Ovis aries: one gene and its partners. The protein of the gene in region 1 purifies or fractionates together with the protein of each later gene. This does not show direct contact. Links are inferred from orthologs where the notes say so. Each region holds a gene or a part of one and is shown in the gene's direction. Other genes may lie near its edges.

Evidence for each region.
Region 2: the proteins of RELA (region 1) and TNIP2 purify together in Homo sapiens (affinity purification with mass spectrometry; 4 studies listed by BioGRID and IntAct, with this or other methods). This does not show direct contact. The link is inferred for Ovis aries from reciprocal best matches to the Homo sapiens genes RELA and TNIP2.
Region 3: the proteins of RELA (region 1) and TWIST1 purify together in Homo sapiens (affinity purification with western blotting; 3 studies listed by BioGRID and IntAct, with this or other methods). This does not show direct contact. The link is inferred for Ovis aries from reciprocal best matches to the Homo sapiens genes RELA and TWIST1.

Annotation. Positions count from the first base shown.
Region 1 is NC_056074.1:40,279,387-40,283,127, reverse strand, and holds the start of RELA (transcription factor p65), read left to right. Parts: upstream 1-821; 5' UTR 822-905; coding exon 906-912; intron 913-1,493; coding exon 1,494-1,520; intron 1,521-1,620; coding exon 1,621-1,772; intron 1,773-1,915; coding exon 1,916-2,064; intron 2,065-2,956; coding exon 2,957-3,048; intron 3,049-3,416; coding exon 3,417-3,548; intron 3,549-3,741. UniProt on the Homo sapiens protein: NF-kappa-B is a pleiotropic transcription factor present in almost all cell types and is the endpoint of a series of signal transduction events that are initiated by a vast array of stimuli related to many biological processes such as inflammation, immunity, differentiation, cell growth, tumorigenesis and apoptosis.
Region 2 is NC_056059.1:116,696,304-116,700,044, forward strand, and holds the start of TNIP2 (TNFAIP3-interacting protein 2), read left to right. Parts: upstream 1-1,536; 5' UTR 1,537-1,646; coding exon 1,647-1,925; intron 1,926-3,741. UniProt on the Homo sapiens protein: Inhibits NF-kappa-B activation by blocking the interaction of RIPK1 with its downstream effector NEMO/IKBKG.
Region 3 is NC_056057.1:28,776,101-28,779,751, reverse strand, and holds TWIST1 (twist-related protein 1), read left to right. Parts: upstream 1-882; 5' UTR 883-1,215; coding exon 1,216-1,818; 3' UTR 1,819-1,860; intron 1,861-2,383; 3' UTR 2,384-3,067; downstream 3,068-3,651. UniProt on the Homo sapiens protein: Acts as a transcriptional regulator. Inhibits myogenesis by sequestrating E proteins, inhibiting trans-activation by MEF2, and inhibiting DNA-binding by MYOD1 through physical interaction. This interaction probably involves the basic domains of both proteins.

The DNA of each region.
Region 1 (3,741 bases):
AAACGGAACAGAGGTGTCAGGTTGCAGAGACAAGCTCCAGAGATTTACCCCCGGGTGACTACCCCTCTCCACCCACTGGCCCCGAGGGTCGGCAGTGTGGAAGATCTTAAACCGACGAGCCTGCGGGTACTGCGCGAGCGGAAGCGGAGCGGAGCCTCTGATCACGCTGACGTGCAGCAGGCTCCGCGAAGGCCACGGTCCGAGTAGTGCCAGGTGGAGAGGTCCAGGCCACTTCTCTTTTTCCTCGTTGCATCCAGACTGGGGTGGACAGGAAATTAAAAAGTGCTTGTGCGGCAATAACCATCAAGAAGCACTCTTATTGACTAGGAAACCGTGAAGAGTTGAGCCACCTGGCCTTGGCGGGCGAAGCAGGCCGGAGCCTTTCCTGCGCGGGGCGGGCGGTCGAAGCCCGGCAGCCCTAGCTTGGCTCCAGACCGGCTCGGGGTGACATCACCAAACTCCTCCGATAGGCGGGAGGTGGCCCCCGAAATCCCCTAAAAACATAGTGAGTAATCGGAGGCCCCGCCCTCCAGGCGGGGCCCAGACTCGGGAGCGAGCCGAGCTGCCCCGCCAGCCCCGGGAGCGGCCTCCGGGAGAGCCGCCTGTCGGTGCCCCGCGCGGCGCGCACTAGCTCCGGGTCGCCGGCACAAGCAGCCTATCCACCCTGCACGCGGCCTGCCCATCCTCCGCGCAGCGCGCGTTCGCCCCTGAACCTCTCCCGGTGGCGGCGGCACCCGCAGCAGCGACGAGGGCGACGGAGACGCATCGCGCAGGCGCGGTCGGATTCCCGGCAGTGACGCGACGGCGGGCGCGCGCGGCGCATTTCCGCCTCTGGCGAATGGCTCGACAGTAGCGCGCGCCGCGGGCCCAGCTGCGACCCCGGCCCCGCCCCCGGGACCCCGGCCATGGACGGTGAGGGCGCCCCCTGACCCCGCGGGGTGGCGGCGCTGGGGCCGCGGGGATCGCGGCGGGAGGCCCCTCACCGCCTTCCGACCCTTCGTTCGCTGTTGGGCGCTGCGCAGGGAGCGGCCGGCCGGATGGTGGCGCGGGGCGGGGCGGGCATCGAGGGTTCTGACTCAGTTTCCCCCTGGGTGTGGGGTGTTGGGGGAAGCGTTAACTCAGTATCCCCCCGGGACCCGGGAGTGGGGCTTGGGCAGTTCCACCTTAGTTTCCTTGTTAGGGGAGAATGTATCTGACTCAGTTTCCTCTCGGGATGGGGGAGTGCCCTCCCTTAGTGTAACTTAAAACAGAAAAGGCCGTGACTCAGTTTCCCCTGGTGGAGGGAGGCGGCCATCTCTGGTTTCCCTCAGGAAAACGGTGCTTCTGGCTTCCTTACGCACACCCCAAGTTTCCCTGAAGGTTCCAGGTAGCAGGTCTGACTGAGTGTCCCCGAGAAGGAGCCTGGCTCCCTCTCCTCACCTCCGGGAAGCAGGCCTTCCCTGATGAGGACAGGATGTGGGCTCCTGCTGACCCTTGTCTCCCTCTCCTTTCAGACTTCTTCCCCATCATCTTCTCCGAAGGTAAGTGGCCCATCCTTTCTCAGTGGGTCGGGAGGAGCTCCCCAGGGTCAGGGGCGATGGGGTCAGTGGCTGATGGGCCTGGCCCGCGTGTCCCCTGCAGAGCCTGTGCAGGCCTCTGGCCCCTATGTGGAGATCATTGAGCAGCCCAAGCAGCGGGGCATGCGCTTCCGCTACAAGTGCGAGGGCCGCTCAGCCGGCAGCATCCCTGGCGAGAGGAGCACAGACACCACCAAGACCCACCCCACTATCAAGGTCAGCAGAGCCCCAGGGCGGGGGACCCAGAGTCAGTAGGGCTGGGACTTGCTTTCAGCCCCCACCCCCCCATCCCGAAATCTGTGTCTGGGAGTTGGGTCTGGAATTCCAGCCCTCTAGGGTGCTCTCTGTACTTTGGACAGATCAATGGCTACACGGGGCCAGGGACAGTCCGCATCTCCCTGGTCACCAAGGACCCTCCTCACCGGCCTCACCCTCACGAGCTAGTGGGGAAAGACTGCCGGGATGGCTTCTATGAGGCTGAGCTCTGCCCGGACCGCTGCATCCACAGGTGAGCTCCTTAGGGGTGGCAGGGGGTGGAAGAAGGTGGTGATGAGATGGGAATCGGAAAAGCAGGCAAGTTATATTGCTGTTACAATGTTAATCGTTTCTGGACAGAGGGCAGAATTCCTCACTGCTTGCTCCCTCTCCAGCTTTGCAAGCTGATTCTTTTGTTTTGAAATTGTCTGTGTGTCTCCTCTCTCCAGTGGATAGGAGGAGCACCCTGTGAGTTCTATGGCAAAGGTGTGGGTCCCTAATCACCCCTGAACCCCTAACCCCTGGGGCTGGAGTGTCACATCTCTTGTAGTCAGAATGAAAGCCATTGAACCAACGGTCTCCCCTGAAGCTTATGTACTGGTTGACAGAGGCAGACCATAAATAAATGTACAAATAACTGAACAAGATACTGTTAGAAATCACCATTTCAGTGATGAAAATGAAGCAGTAATAGGTTGGAAGAATAGCCTGAGGTGGCAGGGAGTGAAGGAGCTGGTCCCACTCCTTTGGGCTGGGACGTCAGAAAGGCTTCTCGAAAGTAAGACCTAAATGTGAGAAAGTAGAGAAGCAGGGAAGGAACATGCCCAGCAGAATGAACAGGTGCAAAAGGCTTTGAAATACGAATGAGTGTCATGTCTTTGGAGAGGGTAAAAGAAAGCCCTGGGGCAGAGGGTAGGGAGCTGGCAGGGACTGTGGCTGGGGCCAGGCGGCAGGGCACAGGGCCTTGTCAGCCAAAGTAAGGAGTCGCTTTCAGTGTGGCACAGTTGGGTGGGGTGGCATTTAAGGGGGTTAAGAATAGAATGATTACCTGGTGAGTGGGGGAGGGGATAAGGGGCAGAGTGGGTAAGGCAGGAGGGCCCAGGCTCTGCTGGAGACAGTGGAGCTTATGCCTCGGGGGGCCTCAGCTTTCAGAACCTGGGGATCCAGTGTGTAAAGAAGCGGGACTTGGAGCAGGCCATCAGCCAGCGCATCCAGACCAACAACAACCCCTTCCAAGGTGAGGGCGGCCACGGTGGAGGCTTGGGCCTGCCTGGAGCACCTCCAGCTGCTGTACCCTTCTGAGGCCACCTTCCCGTCACGTGTCCCTCACCGGCCAAGATGCGGTGCCCATTCATTACATACACCTGTTCAGTACATTCTACCATTGGAGAAACAGACTGAGAGCAGGGGTGTAGGGGACAGGACATTCAGGGTCACAGGTGGAGTCAGTGATGGGTCTAGAACATTCCCACCACCCTCTTCTAGGACTCCTGCTATTTCACACACCTTCCAACAGCCCTCCCAGCCCAGAGCTACCCGCACACCCTGCTCCGCCCCAGCCCCACCCCCAGCCCAGGCTCTCCTGACCATCGGTTTTTCTGACAGTTCCCATAGAAGAGCAGCGTGGGGACTACGACCTGAATGCCGTGCGGCTCTGCTTCCAGGTGACAGTGCGGGACCCGGCAGGCAGGCCCCTCCGCCTGGCGCCTGTCCTCTCTCATCCCATCTTTGACAACCGTGAGTGGTCAGGGAGCCGCATGAAGGGGAGGGGGGTGGGCCTGTGAGGAGGAAAGGAGAGGTGGGGAGGGGTGACCTGCAAGAGTCGCTCTGACTTCGTCCAGTCACCCAACGTATCAGTCATCCCCTCTGTGCCCAGCACTGTGCTGACCAAAAAGACAAGGCAGAGGAGACGCAGAGCTGCCCTTGAGGT
Region 2 (3,741 bases), on another chromosome or scaffold:
ACGGTAAAGCATCTGCCTGCAATGTGGGAGACCCAGGTTCAATCCTTGCATTGGGAAGATCCCCTGGAGAAGGAAATGGCAACCTACTCCAGCATTCTTGCCTGGAGAATCCCATGGACAGAGGAGTCTGGTGGGCCACAGTCCATGGGGTAGTAAAGAGTTGGACAGGTCTGAGGGCGGAGCCTGGTGGGCTGCCGTCTATGGGGTCTCAGAGTCAGATACGACTGAAGCGACTTAGCAGCCGCAGAGCGACTGAAACTGTTTCAGTTGCATAGCCTATTAGGAGTGCCACAGACAGGAATGTCTCCGAGCCCTAACCACGCGGCCTGCGGGCGTGTGGGCACAGGCACCCTGTACTGCGTCCCCCAGTCTCCACAACACACCTGAGGGGTGGGGGCAGCCAGCCTTGACCTCTCTGCAGCGGAGGAGGTGTGAGCTGGCTACACTTATAATTCTGATTATACCAGCTTGTGAGTGTCTTCCCTGGGCTCAGCCCAAGCTCGGGTATGGATTATGTAGAGGGGGAAAAAACGCCACGCTGCTCTCAGGGGACCCAGGGACGGGGGCAGAGAAGGGTGTGCCAGGGAACCTTCGAAAGACCACAGGTGTGCTTGGGCATTACAGTGGAGGACACTCGGAGTCTGAAAAAGTAAACAGCCGTGGAGCCATGGGAAAACCCTCGGAGTCGGCCTGGGAGCCGGCAGATGGAGCGGATGGAGAAACAGGGCAGGAAAGGGCCAGCTCCCTCCTGCCTTCTACCCTAAGAGCAGTTCTTACACCTCGGAGAGGGGATGCGGGCTCTGGAATCTCGCTGGTGGGCTGGGTACCTCGCCGGGCTCAGTTCCTGGAAGGCCGCCCTTTTCCCGGTGCTCGGCGTGGCAGCCGGCCTGCAGCCCAGGGGTCCGGGCCCACGCTCGGGGCTAACACTCGGGGTCGTCTCTCTGGCCACTTCTTTTCCTTCCGTCAGGAGCGAAATAGAGGCCGTTTGACCCCTCTCCTTGTCCGCGCCTGACTCGCTGAAAGCTCCCGCGACACGAGCCGATGAGGCTGCTGGGACAGGCCAGGAACCGCGGGTGGAGCGGCCGCAGGACCCGGGCGGGTGGGGACCCTGCGTGGCCAAGGTCCGCGCGGCAGGCAGGGTCCAGATCTCCTCGGGGGCGGGGCCTGGCGGCTCGGCGAGGGCGGGACCCAGCTGCCCGCGGGGCGGGGCCTGCCGGCTCGGCGGGAGGCGGGTCAGGCTCTCCGTGGGGGCGGGGTCTTGCGGCTCGGCGAGGGCGGGGGCACGCTGTCCGTGGGGGCGGGGTCTTGCGGCTCGGCGAGGGCGGGGGCACGCCGTCTGCGGGGGGCGGGGCCAGCCTCTCGGCGGGGGCGGGAGCACGCTGTCCGCGGGGGGCGGGGCCAGCCTCTCGGCGGGGGCGGGGGCACGCTGTCCGCGGGGGGCGGGGCCAGCCTCTCGGCGGGGGCGGGAGCACGCTGTCCGCGGGGGGCGGGGCCAGCCTCTCGGCGCGGGGCGGGCCCGGGATCTCCGCGGAGGGCGGGGCGCGCCGGGAAAAGTTCCGGGAAGGTGGGCCGCCCCACTGCTCCCCCGGCCCAGACCCGGCACGGAAGTTGCCGGCGGTCCGCGCCTCCGGGACGGGTCCGCAGCCATGTCGTCCGGGGATGCGGAGTCCGGGGGGCGGGAGGGCGCCCCGAGCGCGGCTGCCGCGCTTTGCGGCCTGTACCACGAGGCGGGGCAGCGGCTGAAGCGCCTGCAAGACCAGCTGGCGGCCCGGGACGCCCTCATCGCGCGCCTCCGCGCCCGGCTCGCCGCGCTCGAGGGGGACACGGCGCCGTCGCTCGTGGACGCGCTGCTGGAGCAGGTGGCGCGCTTCCGGGAGCAGCTGCGGCAGCGGGACGGCGGCGCCGCGGAGGCCGCGCTGCGCCAGGTGCGGGGCGGCGGGGCCGGGCTTCCCGGGGGCTTCCCGGGGGCTCCCGGGGGCGCGTGTGCCCGTCGGGCGTGAGGCGTGCGTGGTCTGCCGCGGCGGAGCCGCTGCGTGTGGGGTTCTGGGCGGTGCGCGCCGCGAGGGGTGTAAGGGCTGAGCGTCGAGCCGGGCTCTGCCGTGCGTGTGCGCCTTGGCTCAGGGGCTGTGCGTGCGTGTGCTGGCTTTTGAGGCGTCTGAGCCTTGCTGCGTCTGAAGGAGTGTGTCTCGCTCCCTCAGGTTCTGAGAGGTGTGTGTGCCAGTTAGTCTGGGGGCCGTGTGACCCTGTCGGTTGGGAGGGGTTTGTCCTCTCTGACGATATGGGATGGATGTCGAGGTGGGTCTGAGGGCTGTGTGCGTGTTGGTGTGTGTGCGGCGTTACCCTGTGGGGCCTGAGGGGCGTGTCTGTCCCAGCGTCGGGTCTGAGGGGTGGTTGCGACCATGTTGGGTGCTTCGTGCTGTGTGTGTGTGTGTGTGTGTGCGTGTCATTTCTCAGGTGAGTGTGCGTTGGCTTCTGGGGGGTGTGTGTGGCTTTGCTGAGTCTGGCGGTTGTGTGTCCCGAAGGTTCTGAGGAGTGTGTGTGCCCATGTTGTGGTGTGCTTGCGCGGCGCGTGGGCTCTATGGGATCTGCGCTCCTCTTAAGGGTTGTGTGGTTCTGAGGGTTTGTACGTTCGGTTGTGCTGAGCCGTCTGCTCCCTGGTTGGCTTCTGAGGGATGTGTGTGTCTGTGTGGTTCTGAGGCTTGCCCCTGTTGGGATCCGCCCATTTTGGTCCTGAAGGGTACGTGTGTCTGTGCTGGTTTTGAGGAGTGTGTGTTTCTGTGTTGGGTTCTGGAGGATTCTGCTCGGAGAGGTTGTGTGCCTCTTAGATCTGAGGGTTGTTGCGTCGCTGCTGGCTCTCGGGTGTGTGTCAGGCTCGTTATCTGCTCCCATGTTGGGGCTGAGGACTGTGTCTCCCCGGGCTCCGTTCTGAGAGGTGTTGGTGCTCCTATCGATTCTAGAGGCTGTGTGTCTGTAGCAGCTCTGAGTGGTGTGTGTGTGGGTTTGGGGTGCTGGGTGTGTTTACCCCTACTGGGTCTGAGATGTGTGTGTGCGCCTGTGCAGAGTCTGGGGGTGTGTCTGCGCCCGTGGTGGGTTCTGAAGGGTGATGGTCCCTGGCTGTGGTGAGGGCTGTGTGCCTGTGTTGTGTCTGAGGGTTACGTGCGCCCATATGAATTCTAAGGAGTGTGTGGTTGCATTGTTTTTAATTAGCTTGTTTACAGTTTATTTTTAATCGGAGGATAATTGCTTCTGCCATAGGTCACGCGAGTCAGCCGTGGGGACACTTATGTCCCCTGCCTCCTGCCCCACCCCATCCCCCTCTCTAGGTTGTTACAGAGCGTTGAATGGGAGCTGTGTCATACAGCAGCTTCCCATCGTGAAACAGTGGCTGTCTGTCTACACACAGTGATGTCTGTGCTGCTCTGAATCCATCCCGCTCTCCTTCCCGCTTTGTGTTGGTTGTGAGGTGTATTTGTACATGCTGGTGTCTGAGCGGTGTGCCTGGAGTCTGCGGCTTGTGAGTCTGTCCTGAAGGGTTTGTTCCTATGTTGGGTTTTGATGGTTGTGTGTGTCCGTGTTGTGTCTGATGGGTGTGTGCTCATGGTGGGTCTGAGGGTTGTGTGTCCGTGTTGTGTCTGTCTCGGGAGTCTGCCTGTCTGTGTTGGGGGTGAGGGCTGTGCGTGCTGGCTCTGAAGGGCGTCTGCGTTTGCTGGGTTCTGGGTGGAGTATTCCCATATGCGTCTG
Region 3 (3,651 bases), on another chromosome or scaffold:
CAGCACAGGCAATCAGGGCCGCGGCGAAGACACTGCGCTGCCACCTCCTGCCCTGCTGCCTTCTCCAAGAACAGGACTGCCTTCTTCGGGGGAATGAACTTCTGCATTTTTCTAGCACCTTCGGAGGTGTAGTCCTTTGGGTGTTGGGAAACGTCAGATTGGGTCACTGTGGAGGGAAAAGAAAGGCCCAGCTGCTTCTCGAGGAAGGATGAGAGAACAGGCCGAGGAGCAGATCTACAGTCCCTGGCGCGGCCACGTCTTCAGAAACGCCCACGACCTCAGGACCAGCCACGGTGTTTTGGCCCTTGGGACTCCAGGGCCTGGTTTACCTGACCATCGGGTGGGCTCAGCTGTCGCAGGTATTCTTGCCAGAACCCCCGCCCCAGCAATCCCAAACCGCGCCACGGACCTAAAGCGTACTGGGGCGAGCTGAGACTTCCACCCACTGTGTAGAAACTGTTGTCGCCGCTGCTGTCACAGCCGCTCCAGGAGGGACCGACAAGGCGGCGGGGACCGTCCCCTCCGGTCGCTTCCCCGGGCTGCGCCCGGGTGCGGGGGTGCGGCCCGCGCGCTTCGGCGCGGAAGGAAATCGCCCCGCGCCCGCGGGCGGAGGGCGGCGGGGAAGAAAGGGGGAGGGCAGCAAGGAGGCGGGCAGAGGGGCCGGCCGCCTGGGCCAGGTCGTTTTTGAATGGTTTGGGAGGACGAATTGTTAGACCCCGAGGAAGGGGGGTGGGGACGGAGAAAGGGGGGCTGGAAAGCGGAAACTTTCCTATAAAACTTCGAAAAGTCCCTCCTCCCCACGTCAGGCCAATGACACTGCTGCCCCCAAACTTTCCGCTTGCACGGGAGGTATAAGAGCCTCCAAGCCTGCAGCTTTCGCCCAGCTCCCAGACACCTCGCGGGCTCGCCGACACCGGCATCGTTTCCAGGAGGCCGAGCGGGGTGTGCGTGCGGCCGTTGGGCGCCTTCTTTTTGGACCTCGGGGCCATCCACACCGTCCCCTCCCCCTCCCGCCTTCCTCCCCGCCTCCCCCGCGCGCCCTCCCCGCGGAGATCCTCCCTGTCCCTCCTCCCGCTCCCTCCTCCGCGGGCCGCACCGCCCGGGCCGGCGCCGCGCGCGGGGGAAGCTGGCGGGCTGAGGCGCCCCGCTCTCCTCCTCTTCCCCGGGCCGCCCTTCTGCCCCGGGCCCGCGAGGCCGCACGTCGCCGCCCAAGAGATGATGCAGGACGTGTCCAGCTCGCCAGTCTCGCCGGCCGACGACAGCCTGAGCAACAGCGAGGAGGAGCCGGACCGGCAGCAGCCCCCGAGCGGCAAGCGCGGGGGGCGCAAGCGGCGCAGCAGCCGGCGCAGCGCGGGGGGCGGCGCGGGGCCCGGCGGGGCCGCGGGCGGGGGCGTCGGAGGCGGCGAGGAGCCTGGCAGCCCGGCCCAAGGCAAGCGTGGCAAGAAGTCTGCGGGCTGCGGCGGCGGCGGCGCGGGCGGCGGCGGCAGCAGCAGCGGCGGCGGGAGTCCGCAGTCCTACGAGGAGCTGCAGACGCAGCGGGTCATGGCCAACGTGCGGGAGCGCCAGCGCACGCAGTCACTGAACGAGGCGTTCGCCGCGCTGCGGAAGATCATCCCCACGCTGCCCTCTGACAAGCTGAGCAAGATCCAGACCCTCAAGTTGGCGGCCAGGTACATCGACTTCCTCTACCAGGTCCTACAGAGCGACGAGCTGGACTCCAAGATGGCAAGCTGCAGCTATGTGGCCCACGAGCGGCTCAGCTACGCCTTCTCGGTCTGGAGGATGGAGGGGGCCTGGTCCATGTCCGCGTCCCACTAGCAGGCGGAGCTCCCCACCCCCTCGGCAGGGCCGGAGACCTAGGTAAGGACCCGGCGCCTCTGCGCCCCGTCGCCGCTCAGGTGGCAGACAGATTGAAGGCTGGGGTGCGGCTCCCGGTCCACCTGGCCTTCCTCCCCGTCTCCCACTCCCCTTTCACACCCAACCTGGCACCGCCACCTCATCCCCCCGCGCGTTCCTGGAAGGGAGCTCAGTCCCCGCTAGGGAGAGGAGGATGCGCCCTGGTGAGGGGTGTGCGTGTGCGTGAGTGTGCGTGACAGGAGGGAAGACTGAAAAAGATTCGAGGGTCACGGGTAAGGACAGCCTTGCCAGCGCCTCTCTTTCTTTTGGCTTTTAAGTTTTCGTTCTCCTTAAAACAAATGTTTCCAAATTCCACCTCCTCCGTCTTTCCGCCCACCCACTTCCTCTTGCCCTTGGGCTGAAATCCTTCCAGGTTGTTCAGCGCAATTTCTCCGTGGTGGTGATAAGAACCGTGCTCACTAGTTTTACAAAACAGCCACAGAGACCTAAACAATAACCAACTTTCCCCCCCTCTGGGTTTTTGCAGATGTCATTGTTTCCAGAGAAGGAGAAAATGGACAGTCTAGAGACTCTGGAGCTGGATAACTAAAAATAAATATATTTGCCAAACATTTTCTTGGAAATTAGAAGAGCAGAACCCAAATTCAAAGAAACAGGGCGTGGGGCGCACTTTTAAAAGAGAAAGCGAGACAGGCCCGTGGACAGTGATTTCCAGACGGGCAGCGGCACCATCCTCACACCTCTACATTCTGATAGAAGTTTGAACAGTTGTTTGTGTTCCTCCTCTTTTTTTTTTTTATTTTTTGGTTTTTTTTTTTTTTGACGAAGAATGTTTTTATTTTTTCATGCATGCATTCTCAAGAGGTCGTGCCAATCAGCCACTGAAAGGAAAGGCATCATTATGGACTTTCTCCATTTTAAAATGGTAACGATCAGAGGAATTTTAAGAACACCTTTAGAAATAAAAATACTGGAATCAAACTGACTCACAAAATCACAGTCAGTTAATTCCTTTTTTCATTCTTCCTCTGAGGGAAAAAAAAAAAACTTAAAATAACAAAAAACAACATTCTATTTATTTATTGATGACCCACGGTAAAATGCAAATAGATCCGGTGTCTAAATGCATTCATATTTTTATGATTGTTTTGTAAATATCTTTGTACATTATTTTTCTGCAATAAATAAATATGATTGAAAATTGTAAGAACCTTAAAGTTTGGTCTATATTTTTAAAGGACTAAGTTGGCAGTAAATACCTGCTTGTTTAACTCTGGAGACACCCAGGAGGGTGAGAGGGCATTAATATAAACAAAGCAGTGAAAAACTCAAACTAGTTATTGACAGGTGGGGCATGTTATGTAGAAAGATTCATTATTCCCATTTGGTGTTCAGTGAACTTAGCATCTCTCCTTCATCTCTTATCAGGTCCCCAGACAGCAAAAACTTAAGTTATTCACCTCTCTTGCTTATATTTTGAGAATGCAGTTGTAAAACAGTTAAGCAAATAAGCAGTGGAAGTCAGCACTATTTTCTCTTGTTACTGTGTGTTTTTGTCATACTCTCCACACTTTATGAGGATTTTTAAGTAATAGGTTTATTTCAGTGAAAGTATGCATAAAGTGTTACCAAAATTACCTATCTATAGATAGATGTGTATACACACATGTAAATGACTACAAATGTATAGAAAATAAAGTTTAATTCCACATGAAAGAGGATTCCACTTATACTTTGCTTAACTTTGTCTCACAAACAAGAATGACATTTAATGTTGTTTGCTAAAACAAAAAG